Linked DNA regions of Mytilus edulis. The protein of the gene in region 2 purifies or fractionates together with the protein of the main gene of each other region. This does not show direct contact. Links are inferred from orthologs where the notes say so. Each region holds a gene or a part of one and is shown on either strand. Other genes may lie near its edges.

The links. Proteins that work in one complex are often made in the same cells at the same time.
Region 1: the proteins of anillin-like (region 2) and septin-7-like purify together in Drosophila melanogaster (affinity purification with western blotting; 3 studies listed by BioGRID, with this or other methods). This does not show direct contact. The link is inferred for Mytilus edulis from reciprocal best matches to the Drosophila melanogaster genes scra and pnut.

Annotation. Positions count from the first base shown.
Region 1 is NC_092348.1:93,784,234-93,792,537, reverse strand, and holds the start of septin-7-like, read left to right. Parts: upstream 1-4,784; 5' UTR 4,785-5,587; coding exon 5,588-5,917; intron 5,918-8,304. UniProt on the Drosophila melanogaster protein: Involved in cytokinesis and possibly cellularization. Also acts as an enhancer of the sina gene, thus having a role in photoreceptor development. May be involved in p53-dependent apoptosis.
Region 2 is NC_092348.1:40,060,478-40,068,931, forward strand, and holds the start of anillin-like, read right to left. Parts: upstream 3,905-8,454; 5' UTR 3,780-3,904; coding exon 3,762-3,779; intron 2,526-3,761; coding exon 2,378-2,525; intron 1,670-2,377; coding exon 1,541-1,669; intron 1,017-1,540; coding exon 842-1,016; intron 1-841. Other genes in the region: acyloxyacyl hydrolase-like, read left to right, coding at 3,998-4,118, 5,418-5,574, 7,017-7,116, 7,850-7,941. UniProt on the Drosophila melanogaster protein: Required for cytokinesis. Essential for the structural integrity of the cleavage furrow and for completion of cleavage furrow ingression and proper formation of the midbody.

The DNA.
Region 1 (8,304 bases), about 54 Mb from region 2:
CAGATTCACTGAAATGATGACAAGTAGCAATTTAATGGAAAACCATACTTAGAATTTGAAAATTTAGAATGTAAAAAGTTCAGTCACAGAACATAAATTAGTTTGCACATTTTAAAAGATACAAAGAAACATAGAAAGTTAGTTTTTAGTGAGTTTTTTGGTGCATTAGATAATGAAACCCATCATTTTCCATGTAGATTTAAATTTTAATGGTTATATACATCTCAGTGATTATGGACTTTAAATTTTTAAATAAATATTTAAACTTTTTAGACAGCTCTTTGATCAGTAAAGAATCTAATAGGTTATTTTAGTTATATAATTGACTAGCATGGGTAGCAATAAAATAAGTGTTCATTGAAATAAATAACACTATACATGTCTGGTTAGGTGACGTCCTATTGTTCTGCGACACCAGATAGATAGCATTTTATTTATGTTTTATGTCACTATTGTAAATAGGTAGTAATTTTTTATCACCTGGACTCTACAAGGAGTCGAGATTCCCTTCGAATACACACTGGAAGTAAATAGCTGGATGTGAATTATTGCCGAAATAAATGCTTCCTGACTGATGAATGTGCTTACTGTTTTTAGACTGTTTGATGTAAATTAAAATTTGAGGGTGTAGATTTCCTTCGAGATAAAAACGCTGTTATATACTGCTGCTTTGTGTGTAAGAGATTATAGTGTTTAGGAGTAATAGAAATGTCGCAGGTTATAGAAAATCTGCAGATTTCCGAACCAGAGGTTAGTATACATTGATAATTACATATAACAATGTTAATTAGATAAAATTGTATCAATTTCATATTTTTCTTATTAGTCATTTTCACAGTAAATCATGTTACATCTATTAAACTGATGCAGCGTTCAATGTTTCTGATAAAACTATCAGATATTCTGTTGCCAGATATTTTTTTGCCAAATCTTTTCAGAAATGTCAGAATTTTATGTTAATAGTTAGCAATTAATTACGGTTATGAGGTGATCACTTGTTTTGCATTAATGCTTTGTTTTTGTTCATTGGCTTTGTTTCGTGCTTCCTTCGGTTATTATTTTTCTTTGGTTATGATCAGAGTGTGCAATAGTACTTAAAAACTATGATTGTGTAATTAGCTGTTAATTAACAAATATATGATTTTGATGTCATATTTAAAGTCCTTTACTAGGAACCAGTTATAGACCTATGGTCAAACTTAAAGTACATGTATTATAGGATTTATAAGACAGATTATTTAGAGTAATAGAGATCTTTATTGCCATTTTTGGTGTCTTTCACAGACCCTGCACTGCAGGCATTTTTCATAAAGGAGCACAAAGATGTGAAGGCATTCTCACAGATCACCAGAAACTTGTCATTATGAGAATACATGTATTGTTGTAGTACAAAAATGTATGCAAAAAAACCCTGAATTTTTCACAAAATTTAATCTATAGCTTGATATTAGCAGAGTTGTTAATTACTGATTGGACCAGTCAGAATTTCCCCCATGATTTTTTGGTTAGCACCAGGGTAAATTTGGGAACAAAGAAATTGAGATACTTGTGATTAAAGCACCTTGGGTCAGAAATGTGGGACAGCTTGTTAACTGTGCATTACATTTAAGGGCCTTGGTAGACTTGTTTTCTGCCAGTTTTAAGGCTGTTGGTCTCATTCTTTTAAAAGAACATAATTGTGAGTTTCACTGGAAAAATAATAGTTATGGTATGTAATGATACCTAGGCCTATTTACATGTATGTTCGGCTATTTTTGGAAGGTTTTCTTGGGCGTTTGTTCACTTTGTTAAAACACTGAAGGCTTGCACATTCTTCAAAAATCTAGATATGAATTCTACACACATAGTGAGGTATATTCAGAAGTAAAAGTTTAATAAATTTGAGCTCCACCCTGAAAAAGGCAGCTGTTTAAGATCTATCTTTGTCTAAGCTTGTCAGTAAAATCTGTCTGTTTTAGAAGCCTCATGTTTCATAATCAAAATCTGTATAGACATCTGTTACAGCATATTGCTTGTTCTGTGGATGTTTACTTCTTATCTAGAGTTTTGACTACTTATCTTCAAGTATTCCAGAATCGTGTGCACAGAATTAAAGTTGTTAATCGATGCATGATGGCAATTAAAATAGTAAGAACAACCCCTGCATCAGTCATAATGATAACTGAAAGAGTAGACATCTGTGAAGCTTTTTCTACATGTACATTGAAGGTGTAACAAGGTAGACCCAGAATTAAAAAAACAACCCCTGCGTCGGTCATAATGATAACTGAAGGAGTAGACATCTGTGAAGCTTTTTCTACATGTACATGTACATTGTAGGTGTAACAAGGTAGACCCAGAATTTTTCAAAAAGGACTAAACAAAAAGTGAAATTTCCAATATTTTTTAATTTACACGATATGAACTATTTATTTTGCTCCTGGATATCCTCTCAGAAAGCGTAGTTCTAAGTGTGCACTATAAACATGATGGAAATAAGGATGTTATCATAAACTTTAGAAAAGACAGTTTTTATAACTTCAGGAAGTATGACTTATAAAAAAGCAATATTCAACACTTTGAAGCTACTTCATTCCTTTTGATAAGTTTATAAAAAATAAATCAGGAAGGCATAGATGTAAATGACAGTTATGATATTAAGTCTGCATCAAAGAAATGTAATTTTTTGGTTGATTGGTTGCTGTTACAATCATATTTTCCACATATTTATATTTCATTCATGCCTGAAATTATAATTTACAGAGATTTTATACTATTTACTGAATAATCTGAACCTATTATTAGAAGGACAACAGACATAACTTGACCCGTACTTTGTCCCCTTTTCTTCAATGGTGAGGTGAAGCATCTAATGGAGATTTTGTTTAAAAGGTGTCTTCATTACCTATAATTCCAAATTGAAAATAAACACCGCTGAGTGAAAGCACACCTTTAACAATAAGTAATTTAAATGTAAATACCGGTAGACCTACCTGTAGTTTACAATATAATATACTAACAATTATGTTAAGTATTTCTGTAAGCGGATAAAAAAAATTATGCTGACAGAATGAGACGCATGTATAATTACTGAAGTGGAATTAAGCTCATTTATACCTTTCATTACATGTAACTAATACCACATCTTCAGATTGTCATTAGGAAATATATCTTAGTTGACATGCATTCCATCAGCCCACTAAATAACTGTCAAATCTGTCAAGTCTGGAGACATTGCAGGATATGATGACAATAAATAAAGTTTGACAGATTTTTAATTTTGAAAAAAATGTACAGTAGGCTCAATTATAATAAATATATGAAAGTGAGTAAATGATTGCAAAATGCAAGAATGTCAAGACTCCATGTTGGAGACGATACTTTGACCTATACTGGTTTACTTTTACAAAATGTGACGCCTCATTGGCACTCATACCACATCTTCTTATATCTAAGATAGTTTATATGTATTTACTCCTTTAATGTAAATGGATATTCTACATTTACCATGCTTTACCATAAAATAAGGTCAAATTGCTGAAAGACCTACTGAATCTATCATTTTGCTATAATTATAATGTTATGTTGTAAATTAAGTTCACCCAATGGGCCTAACATCCTTACAAGTGTATCTAATACACATGTAATAGCAATTAGTGAATGAAAATTCAAAAACAGGAAGCACATATTTTCTTCCTTACAATCACGAATATAAAGTTTTTGTAATCATTCAAGGTGTTGTTCTGTCTTTTAAAATAGAACAGATTCTATCTTCTTAGAATTGGACATGATTTGAATCCCAAATTTTCAAAATTTACTGCTGTCACATAAAATCTGGAACTCTCACATAAAATCAGGAAAGGTTCAAATTATTTGTAGGTCCTTGGGGGTGGATCCAGCCATTTTCAAAAGTGGGTTCCAACTAAATGTCCCCATTCAAATGCATTTATCGTCCAAAAAAAGCAAGTTTACAACCCTCTTCTGGATCCGCCACTGGTCCTATTTGAGTCGGTATGTAGTGCTTATTGTCATCTGTCAAACTTCAAGTTGTTGGTAGTTTTAATGGGAAGGAGTTGTAGTTATTTTAAACATATTGATCCAAGATTAATCTGTGATGAAGTTGTAACCAGCAAAGAACAAATCAAGATATAAACTATCTCAGATCAGTTAAACGGGTGTAGTGACCTCAATTTCATGGTTCAATGGATATAAGTATGAAGTTTGTAAACCGTAAAGGTCTGGGTTTAAATACTATTATTGTGATTGTTATACATGTATATTCAAATGTTATTGAAAAATTAACGATAGAAAAAAGATCTTTAAGTCTTTAAAGTTAGAAAAAGGGGGTAAAAATAGAACCAATCAATTAGTTGTGAAATGTAGTTGTGTGTTTAATTTGTGTGTGTGATTATGGTTGAAAGTAGAGAAAATGTGAATTCTACTACTGTGATGTTAACATCTGTCATCCTTACATCAGTCACAACAGTTGTATTAAATTCAATAAAAAAGAAATTTATGTTTAAAATAAGGACTTTCTTGAATTTAACTTAATGCAGTGTTATTCTGGTAGAAAGAGTCTTTTAGTTGTAGCTGTATCCATCTTGTATTTTTACTTGGTAAAAAGTAGATTATATAAGACTTAAATACTTCAATGAATAATTGTTTGAATATGAATAAATAAAAATTTGATTTTTTGTTTGTCGATATTAAAAGCAGATCGGGTGGTTATAAACACCTGGATATAACACAAAGAAACAGCTGTTTGTCTGTAAATATAAATCCAACAAAATATTCCATATTTATTTAGGTCCTAAGTTTTATCACAAGTGTGGGTATAAACTCACAAAATACATAAAAGTCTTGTATAAATGTTTTTTTGGCTGATCAGACAAGATTAGCATTGGATCAATGGTGCAAGGACAAATTAATTGTTGTATTTAAATGTTAATTATCAGCTCACCAAGTGTGGATCAAAATTATTGATCCTTTCTAAAGTTAGTACAATCATCTCCGCCCAATTTGGACAACAATCAGACCGTCGGAACACAACAATGATTAAAATCTGTGCTCTTTATAAATACCAGTAATTGTTTCTTTACCGTACATATTGTCACAAATAATATCCATTGTCAGGATTTAACCGTATGAAATAAAGTTGAAGATTTTTTAAAGATTTAAAAAGTCAAGATCCATTTTTTATGTTGATCAATAGTTGTATGGATATCTGATGTTTGTCTCATGTTTACACTGTGCCAGAGGAAATAACTTCTGTTTGAGGGATACACATCCTGTGTATGTAGAGAAAGTCTGTTTGTTATCAATCAGTCGTATGTGTGTATGATGTAGATTTATCTGCACTCACCAGGAGATTAAATTTCACCTCAAACTTTTAGGAGGAGGAATATTTTGGCAGTGTATAAGGTGCCTCTGTCTAAATTTTAATGACTTTTACATGTGCTAGGCGTTAATTAGACTTCACAACAGTTTGTGTGTTTTAATTTAGGATTTCCTTGATTATTGTTTGTGATCTATTTTCAACATCTGGATTGAGTATTGCTAGTGTGTTGAAGTAATTAATTTCCACTTTGATGAACTTCTGACAAACAACATGGCTGCCAGTACACCTATGACACAATCAGGCACAGGTAGAGGACCAGCTCCACCCCTTCCAGAGAAACCTCCTTCAGTGGCGGAGAGGACTAGACTTCTAAAATCAAGTTTTCGCAAGGATGATGTTGATAAACCGAAAGTTGTATGTTCAAGTCCAATAGTAGAAAGAGCAGCAACACTACCACATAGTCATGAGACAAATGGGGATAAATCTGAGACTCCTTCTCCTGCTAGTAGTGTGGGGTCCATGACTGGTGTAGGGGTTAAGGCCTCCACTCCGGACTCAGTCAAGGACTTGCCACCAAAGCCGGCAGTAAGTCCACCAGCTGTATGTATATTCGTTTGTCTTGTCTTTAACTGTGCATGTTCTCATATACATTCAGGCAAAGGGTGGGTACCAGGGTATGAAGTACATATGTATCTTCAGACTTATTTCTATTTGAATGTGCACATGTGTTTCTTTTCTCTTCTTCATATTTTCTGAAAAGAGCCAGTTTTACCTGCAGTTATTTTAATTATATACCTCCGTGTGCATTTTAATTTCACTGTGAATTCATTGTATTTTAATAATGTTTTCTTGTTTTGTTTTGTTTTTTTGGCTGCAAAGGTTTACAAATACTATATTGTCTAAAGAAAATTAGAGTATTAATACAATGTAGATTTAATCCCATTTAAATGCATTCCTTTGTTACTATCCCTAAACCACATGTTGTAGGGCAATTGAAAGGTGACTCATACCTTTTATGTCATTTAAGAATGCAATTTTATAAGTGTTCGCTAATAATATTAACTTTGCTTAAAAAAAATCATGATACACACGATCTAGGTGTAAATAATTTGATCTTAACTGTGTGCAAGATGTTTTCTAGATCTTGAGGGAAGATATATACCCAACTTTGTTTACTTATCTCAGTGGTCAGTATACAAAACCAATTACCAAGTAGCCTCAGTGTTTATAGACATCAGATAAGTGTTTATTGGTTTAAGATTATTGTTAATGGTCAATTATAAGGGCTACTGTTATCGAAAGGTGTAACTGATATACAAATCTTTGACCTTCTTCTCTCATGTATTCCAATACAGCAACATGCATGGGTCTTGATTGAATTCTTCCTTTCTGTTAAATCTTAAATCATGATTAATCAAGTTAATCTTTTCTACCTTTAGACAGTTGTAAGTTAATCTATGATGGATTTGGCCACTATCATGACCATGGACTTCACATGTGCACCATTCATTCAAGTGTTCAACTAAATATAAACTTTCTATATTTGCAGAATTTCAGCACTAATACAAATTAAAGTATCTAAGGAAACTTCTTTATCTGCAAAACCTTGTACTGAAGAACTTAGGTCTTCTTTTTTCTTTAGGAGTCCTTACCCATATACATGCAGAGCTTTACTACCAGGTGAACTATCCTTCATCCTAAACTTTACCCTAATCCTATCCCTAAACCTGACCTAGAAAATCCCTTAACCTAACTAAACTTTACCCGAATCCTATCCCTAAACCTAACCTAAAAAATCCCTTAACCTAACTAAACTTTACCCTAATCCTATCCCTAAACCTGACCTAGAAAATCCCTTAACCTAACTAAACTTTACCCGAATCCTATCCCTAAACCTAACCTAAAAAATCCCTTAACCTAACTAAACTTTACCCTAATCCTATCCCTAAACCTGACCTAGAAAATCCCTTAACTTAACTATAACCACAAATGACCTAGAAGTAAAATAAGGCCACAAAAAAAAAAAAAAAAACACTAAAAATTTCTACCAATCATTGACACCTTTGCCATCCTTCCAACATTCTCTCCCTCTCCCTCTCTCTCCATCCCTCATTTTAGTATCTCTTATCCCTGTTATATTGAAATGATTGTAGATGCCAAAATATTACCAAAATCTACTTCATTGTCAGGTTTTACAAAAGTCGTTTAATTACGTACAAACAAATGATGCTTCTCATCTTCTGGAACTACAAATGACTAAAGAAAGACAACAGTATGAGCTAACTATTGAGGTATGATGTGTGGTTGGAAACCAGTTTAGGAGTAACAGTTCCCATCATTGTGTACTTTTTATAAACCTCTTCGTCCCCAGACTTCATGATTTGTGGTTGTAAACCAGTTTGGTAGTGACAGTTTCCTATCATCATGTATAAACCCCTTCGTCCCTAGACTTACTCCAAAATTTCAGTTTAACACACACTTTGATGTCCTTATGCACATGTTTGCTATGCACTGTCTCTTTATGTTATTGTCCTTATAAGAGTCTAAATATCGTATAATATAGTATTACTTTCTATCGACTATTTGAATACTGGCCCAAGTACTGTTAGTATTCAATATGAAATATTGTTGATTGAAAAGAGGATAAAAGAGGGAATTGTTGTTATGAAAGTCTAAATATAGTATGACTTTCGATTGACTGTTTGAATACTGGCCTAAACATTAAAACAAGGATAAAGTAAGGAATTGCGTAACAGATTAGGAATTTATTGAATAAAAACTTTTGATTTGTTTGCATGGGAGTTGTATTTTGCAGACAAGAGACAATACCTGAAAGTCTAGCCCAATCTTCACTGACCTATAACAATCTTTAAGTCTGGTGTATTATTTTCCTTAATATGCATATTACTGATAATCACTTCACCAGAGTTATCATTCATTTCACTCTTTGTTTTACAACCTCAGGTAAACTCTTACATTCCTTGCTC
Region 2 (8,454 bases):
TGACAGCAGCTCAATGATACAAATAACCATTCTAATATGACGTCCTTATTACGCTTTGTAAACAAAGCTGTGTTCTAATGAGCACAAAATATGTTTGACGCACAAACTTACTGTTTATATTAACGTTATTTCCATCGTTATCCTTTAAAATATATACATTTAAGCAGCTAACATAAACTCTTATTATATTTTTTTTATGAAACAACATATATTTACCCTGCTCGTAGCTTTTAAACTTATCAAATATGAAATGCAATGCACAGGAGGAAATGAGAACAGCCGAACATTTTTACGGTAATTTCATACGCTTCGACTTATAAAAGTATATTTGTCCTATTAGAATCGAAATAATTCCTCATTGTCATGCTCTAGGCTATTTTTAACATGAGTAGGCATTATATTTGACCACATTTTACACCCTGATAACGCTCAGTGTAAAATATCGACAAATATAATGCCTACCCATGTTAAAATGAGCATAGAGCACGACATGAAGGAATTATTTATTAAACATACATGTACATCAAGAGGTCAACATAGTCTTCAAATACATATATGGTGTCAATACAATATATCAAGCTCTTAATTATAAAAAAAGAAAAAAAGTTCTGACTCAATAAAACAGAAACTATCAAAGAAATGACATCAATGTCAAATTCTATAAATGACCTGCTTTCATTTGACTGGAATATGTGGAAAGACAAAACTTTATTTTTTGTTATTCAAATACATGTATATTAAAAGTGCAGGTATGAAAACCATCTAAGAATTGCATAAATGCTGTATTAATTGTATATGGTTCTCTGAAAGCACTGCCACTAGACATAAAATCATTACTTACGGAATTGTGGGATGACTAAGATCATCCTCCCAGTTGTTTATTGTGGCGGCTAAGTTAGCTAGTCGCCCTCTCCTTTGTCCTTCTACTTTAGGAGGTTCTACTTCCTCCTCTAAGGAATTCTGTAAAGACTTCCTAGGAACTGGTTTAGGATGTGAATTGTCAGAATCTGTTCCATCTAAATTCAAAATTATGCCAACATTTTAATTACAACTTTCATTTTCTTAATTTAACAGATGGACTCTTTTTAGCTTTTATCTTGGGTGGGGAGGAATCATTTATAGATTTTTTTTTGGCTTGGACCAATATTTGTTTTACTATTTAATTACATTTAAAGTCGAACATATTTTTCTGTAAGATTTTTTGGGTGAAAATCGTTAGCTGATCTTTATTGTTGCCTGTGTTAGAGGCAACGATTCTTCAAACAATATGGAATGGAAGCTAAATTTCAAAAGGGATTATGACATGGTGTGCCCACAAACATGCATTACCCTGGCTCCTCCACATTTAGGCCTGATCAAATCAGAAATCTGTACAGTACTCCTGTGGTTATTACTTGCAGTCTGTCATAACTGTTCATTTAATGTACATAATGTAATATTTGCACAAATCAGGTTGATGTTTTTTTCTTATCTTTTGAGCTACTTTTATGATGTTAATTTTTACAAAGAAATGCAAATTGTGTACAAGATTATTTCATACCTCCTGAAGACCAATCGGTTCTCTGTTGTGTCAAATTATGCATTCTAGATCTCACACTACTAATAGCTGGTGTGTCTGGCTTTATATTGATTTCATCTTCTCTCACACACTGTCTCTTGCCAGGGGATGCTGAAAAAAATATGGTTACTGTGAAATAGTGGTATTAAAAATTTGTAACACAACATTAACCCAATTATAAATTCTTTTGCATATTTAAAAGTACAAAGTTTCATACAATTTAAATATTCTATTTATCTACCTTCTTGTTTTCCTTTGTACATTACAAAGTGATTCTGCAATTCCCTACAAATCTCCATGACAGTTAAACAGAGTGAACTGAAATGACCACTACAATGACATATACATGTAGACACAGTGATTCAGCATGTCACTTTAAAACACTGTGACAGTAAAGTCAAAATTAATTTGGCCAGATACCATGAAATATATTCATATCTTTAACCCAGTTTTCTAGATATGCATATGTCAAGATATATATGTACATCTATTAAAAACTGCAAATTGGTTTCCCTTAAAACTATACATGTTAACTTATAGTTCTGTTTCTGCTTGATATGTCTCCTTACTTCCCAGACAAATTTTATGTACATTTTTGGTTACGCCCAAAACATTTGAAATTTCCCAATATTTCAAACGCAAATTATTGAAGAAAAGAAAACATTTTACCTACTATGTACCAACCTATCCTATTCATCTGCAGCCAGTAGAAAGAAAACAAGCATGTAGGTTTTTTGTGTATATTTGCATGACATACTTGTACATGAGTTAAAATATTTAACTACCAATACTACTTGTATCATATAACAATTTAAATACCTTCTTTCATGAGAGTTTTAGTATCAGATTGTGGTAAATTGTCTGTGGTATTATCCTGCAGGAATCTTTTTCTAGGTGTTACTTCAGGGGTTTTCCCCATTTTCTGATTCAACATCTCTCTTCTCTGTCTCGTCCTCTCTAGAAGTTGCTGAAAGAAGAAATAAGTTTACCTTAATTAATAGTTTCAAGCTTTAACATTATTTTCTGTTGTGAAGCATCAAAATTAAACAGACATATTCATTTATTGTTAAAACATATTACAAGATACCAATTCTAGATGTTATTCATTTGGAGAGAAAGCACCAATTAAGAGGGTAGTAATGGCCTTTCTCGTCAAGCATCAAACCTTCATTTTTGGCTATCATTTATAGAGACAAATCCTGATTCTTCAAAGGTCTCAAAAAAATTATGTACATGTAGATGAAAGTGATTCTACATGGATTGGGCACACAAAAAAGGTGCCAGACCTCCAAATCCTGAAAGCAAAGTTAAGTGAGTCTGATAGGAGTCTATAAAAAAATATAGTGTAGTATCCGGAGGGTTAGTTTTAGGTCATCAGACAGACCATCTAGAGATGTCCGAAGGACTACCCAGAAACCATTCTCTTCCGGTTGAAACTATTAATGGCTATACAGCAGACGAATTCACTAGAACAGCAATCGGCCGTTCCTGACTGCAGGAACGACCATCCAAGGTATATATCGGTCTTGAGTTATACTCGGGATCACAACAATAGCATATAGCATGATGCAGGATTGACAGATTGTTTGAAAGCATTGACACAGAAAACATGTCAAGCACGAAACTTGAAATTACAAGCGTAATCATTACAATGATATAAGCTGGATAAGACAGACCCCCTGTAAATCTACTAAACTTGTCTAGACTAAAGAGTGAGTGATGACTAATGACGAGTAATTTGTCTACTATTAAATGAACACCCCTCCAGTCCATATAACTATAAGGTTATTCAAATTTAAGATTAAATTCTGGCATTCGTTATTAGGTGGAATTTGAAATAAGTTTGACTTATCATGTTTACAGACAAATCATACTCATCAGTGGCAGATCCAGCGGGAGGGGAGGGTTTCCAGGTGGACACCCCCCTTTTTTTGGATGATCAATGGATTTTAATAATAATAGGGACATATGATTGAACCCCCACCCTCTCATCCTTCCTCCTGGGTTGGAACCCCACTTTTAAAAATAGCTAGATCCAACCATGCACATGTTATTTATTTTGAATTTTCAACAATGCAAATATGATCAAATATTCAAAACAACGCCTCGTCTGGTCAATATTTTTCATTTGGTGAGTTGTGTGATGTTCACAACTAAGACAATACAAATTTCATTACTTTTCAGTTCTGTAGTTTTTACTTACCTCTGTATACGGGTCCATTATAAATACAAATTCTGTTTATGTTCAAATATTTTCGGTAACATTAGCCATTCCAATTCAAATTTGGCGGTACAAAACAACGTGAAATCTCGAACATCTGCGAGAAAATTCAAATATTTTGATCTCGATCTACAATGCGTTTTCGTAAGTGATCTTTGAAATTGGTGTCACGTGGTGGTCATGTGACTTTGCAGAAGGTGTTAAAAAAATCCAAAGAAATGTCACTTGGGAAAGCAGTTGCCGTTGTCCTTGTTTTTGTTATATGCTTATATGGTTCAGAAGCATCTAGATCGAGAAACTTTCTAAATTTCGGCGCGAATGGTGGTACCAACTGTGCCAGTAAGTTTCAATTGATAATTAGATACTCATTTATGATATAGTATTGCACAGTGGGTCAGATTATTTTACTACAGCAGTTACATATCTGTCTAGACAGCTATTATCTGATAGAGGACAAAGTCTGTTTTAGTACTTTTGTAAACTGATAGAATTAACTTATTTGTTAACTCTTCAATATACTTTATTTTATTCTATTTTACATGGTATACTGATGACAAAACAAATATTTGTTATACTAGTTGTTTGCACACATAATAGTAGTCCTAATAATAGTCAGGCATTACCTGTGAATGGGGACAAAGTCTGTATGATTGTTTTTTAATTCACAAATGTTTTAAAAACAGAAAGGGAAATATCGTAATTTAGGTTTTGTTGTTAGGGATTTTAGTTGTGACGTTATTTAAGTTATGAAGTCATATTCAATGTAAACAAAGAAACGCTGTCATCAAGTAACGTTTTTTTTATAACAAACAAATTAAAAAAAAAAAATAAGTATTGATTTCCTTTTTTAGACTGATAAATATATATTTTATTCAAAGTCTCATGCAAACAAGACCGGAATCGGAAGTAGATTTCTGCGCAGATGCAGGGATTTGAAAAAAACTGAAAAAAAAGTTAACAATTTCGAGTTCATAAGTAGAATGAAAAATTTGGGAAATTTTCCCGATTTTTTTTTTTTTTTTTTTAATTATTTTTCAACCGTTATAGGGGACTTCATCCCCATAATAATGATGCTGTCTGCTAAAAGGTATTTTTCGATTTTTATTTTTTATCCCTTATTGTCACAGGAAGGAGCCAAGGCAAAAATTTAGAATAAGCATTTTAAGATGAAGAAAGACCCTACATATAAAAAGGTCTAATTAGGTCTTAGACTCTTATTACTGAAACAAAAAAATCAAAGGAAAGAAGGTATCGTCAAACACTAACTTTTAAGATTTGACTATTTTGGAACAATTGTTAGAAATGGTTGTCTTGATTATTGTTCACATGTTTGCAATCTTATTTAATTATTTCACATATATATAAAAGTATATGTCAGAAATAAGGTATTTGAATTTATCTTAGTGTCAGACAGTCATTGACATAAACTTAAAGTGATTTTTTTTCTTTTTTTCTGAACATCTCTGTAGACTTGTACAAATACAGAAGATGGATTGGTTTATTATTTCTTGCTTAACATCAAGTAGTAAATCAAAAGATCGATGTGTTTTGAATTTGTCTTTCTAGATTGGGGACGTTAGATGTACAATGAAAATGTAAAGCTAAATGTGTTTAAAAATGAAAATGTTCTTTTTTCAGCATGTACTGTTATTTTTACATTTGGAGAACAACTAGCAACTATACACAATGAAACAGTAACAAAATCTTTAGAAAGGTTCTGCAATTATTTACCACCTGCAGTTGCAATACCATGTAAAGTATTTGTAGACTACATTGCATATGAGATTATACGTGTGTAAGTATTAATATGAGGCAGGCATTACCTGTAAATGGGGACGAAGTCTGTATGAATTATTTTTTTGTAACTTACATTTATATATTTGTTAAGAAAAAGAAACGGAAATACCGTAACGTTTCCGATTTTGGTTCTTTTGTTAGGGATTTTAGTTGTGACGTTATTTAAGTCATGACGTCATATGCAATGTAAACAAAGAAACGCTATCATCAGGTAACATTTTTTCATATCAAGGAATTATTAAAAATGAAATTGGTATTGCGCATTCCTTCCTATTTTATACTAGACTGATAAATATATATTTTACTCAAAGTTTCATACAAACGAGACCGGAAAAAGGAAGTACATTGTACATTTCTGCGCAGGTCCGGGATTTCAAAACATGACATAAAAAAAATTGAACGATTTTGAGTTCATTAGTACAATGAAAAATTCGGGAAATTTTCCTAATTTTTTTTTTTATTGAATTTTCTACTGTTATTGGGGACTTCGTCCCCATAATATTCTGTGCTTTGTGGTCAAATAGATATAAAAAAGAAGATGTGGTATGATTGCCGATGAGACAACTATCCACAAAAGACCAAAATGACACAGACATTAACAACTATAGGTCACTGTACGGCCTTCAACAATGAGCAAAGCCCATACCGCATAGTCAGCTATTATAGGCCCCGATAAGACAATGTAAAACAATTCAAACGAGAAAACTAACGGCCTTATTTATGTAAACAAATGAACGAAAAACAAATATGTAACACATAAACAAACTACAACCACTGAATTACAGGCTCCTGATGTTTGTTATTGCCATGTAACTAGTGACAGGATTTACAGAGAGGACATTATTCATGAGAAAATATCATCAAAGAAACCAGGCTTATAAACTAGTATGCCAGATATGCATCTGGTCTATATAATCTCTAATAGTGGCACTTGAACCAAATATTTAGAAGGTTAACCTAATTACAAAGTTGAAGGCCATTATAAACCTTTTTTTTTTTTTTTTTTTTTTTTTTTTTTAAAGTTTGTCAAATCTAACTAAGCTAGGTCATTTACACCTTATAGGTAGTAGGAAAACCTTTGTATTTCAATTTTGAGTTTTCAAATTGTTTGACATGTAATTTAGTCAGGTTGCACAAAGAGTGTATGTTTTGTAGACTCATTGTTTATTCTTTGAAGATTTTTTTGTTCCATAGTACATGTATTCAGTGACGGATCCAGAACTTTTCATAAGGGAGGGCCTGCTCCAGTCATGCTTCAGTAATTCCCTATATAACCAACCAAATTTTTCCCACAATGGGGGGGGGGGGGGCATCAGGGCCCCCTGGATCCGCCTATGGTATTGGTACTTATCCCTGTCCCTTATACTAATTTTGTAAAACAAAATTATTTGGCATGTAGGTAATTGATAAACTCTAAATTTATTGTTATCTTATTTTTAGATTACCAGCAAAATACAATCCAGATGAAGCCTGTCAAGGACTTGGTTTTTGCTTCACTGATACAGGAGAAGAACAGTGCCACCTGTTTCCAAAACCAAAGGTATGTTATTTCAATAATGCCCTTCATAGACATGATGTTTTATGTTTATTAATCATTGTCTATCTGTATATTCACATAATGTGTAAAAGATTAAGAATGCTTTGATCTAATTTCAAGAAACTATATGAAGTATTTCAATCAGTGAAAAAAAACTCTGTTTACGATTTAAAAAATTTTAAGCAAGAAATGATGACGTATTTAAGAAAGTGTTTCAAATGATCAAATTATGTTAAAAAAATAATTTAGAAAGTCTTGTTTATTATGACCTAAAATACTTACCTCACATGCAATAATCCACCTTTATGACTAATTGCATGCATTTACTATTGCCATTTTTTTTTTATAAATGAATGAAAATGCAAGATTAATTATTGTGATTCATGAAAAGTTGCCTTCAGTGACTGTCATACAAGTGAGAGGTTTAGCTAGCTATAAAACCAGGTTCAATCCACCATTTTCTACATTAGAAAATGCCTGTACCAAGTCAGGAATATGACAGTTGTTATCCATTCGTTTGATGTGTTTGGACTTTGATTTTGGACTTTCCTTTTTGAATATTCCTCGGAGTTCAGTATTTTTGTGTTTTTACTTTTTTCAGAGTACAGACATATGCATATGATATCATAATGCCACTTCTTACTATTGCATAAGGCATCTAGTCGCATTATTCTCATTAGTATAAACATCCCAATAATTTCTGAATTTATAGTATATAGATTGTTTTCCCATATAGGTTAGCCGAGTATTCAATGCAAGAAGGAAGAGGGCAGCTCCTAACATATGTGAACTGCCTGGAATTAAAGAGATTTGTAAACTCATAGACAAGTAAGAAGTTATCAATTTACCTGGTCAATATGGCCAATCACAAAAATTACATGGAACACATTTTTGCATCTGAAGAGCAACACAGTGGGTGCCACAATTTAAGCAGGAACTAAATACTTTATGTCTGTAATGCAATATGATGTTACTTTTATTAATCAATCAGCAATTTATCCCCGGTTTGAATCTCAATTATTATTATATGTTTCAAACCTGTAATTTGTTTTATATTTCAACTATAATTGTTTTAGTGTGATATCAATTGTCCAGTACAATGCGGTAGAAACCAACATAAAAATAAACTGCTCTCATTTAAAACCCATGGCCTTCAACCTAATGGAAAGTACAAAAAAGGTTGCAGATACAAAGTCTGCAGTAAAAAAACGCAAGTCATTAAAATGAAGCAGCACATTTTAATAGTGGTCAAAAGAACAAGAAAATAACAGAACACTAAAGAAATACAACACAAAAAATAAAAAATAGAGTGATAGAAAGCCAATTGATTAAAATTGAAGT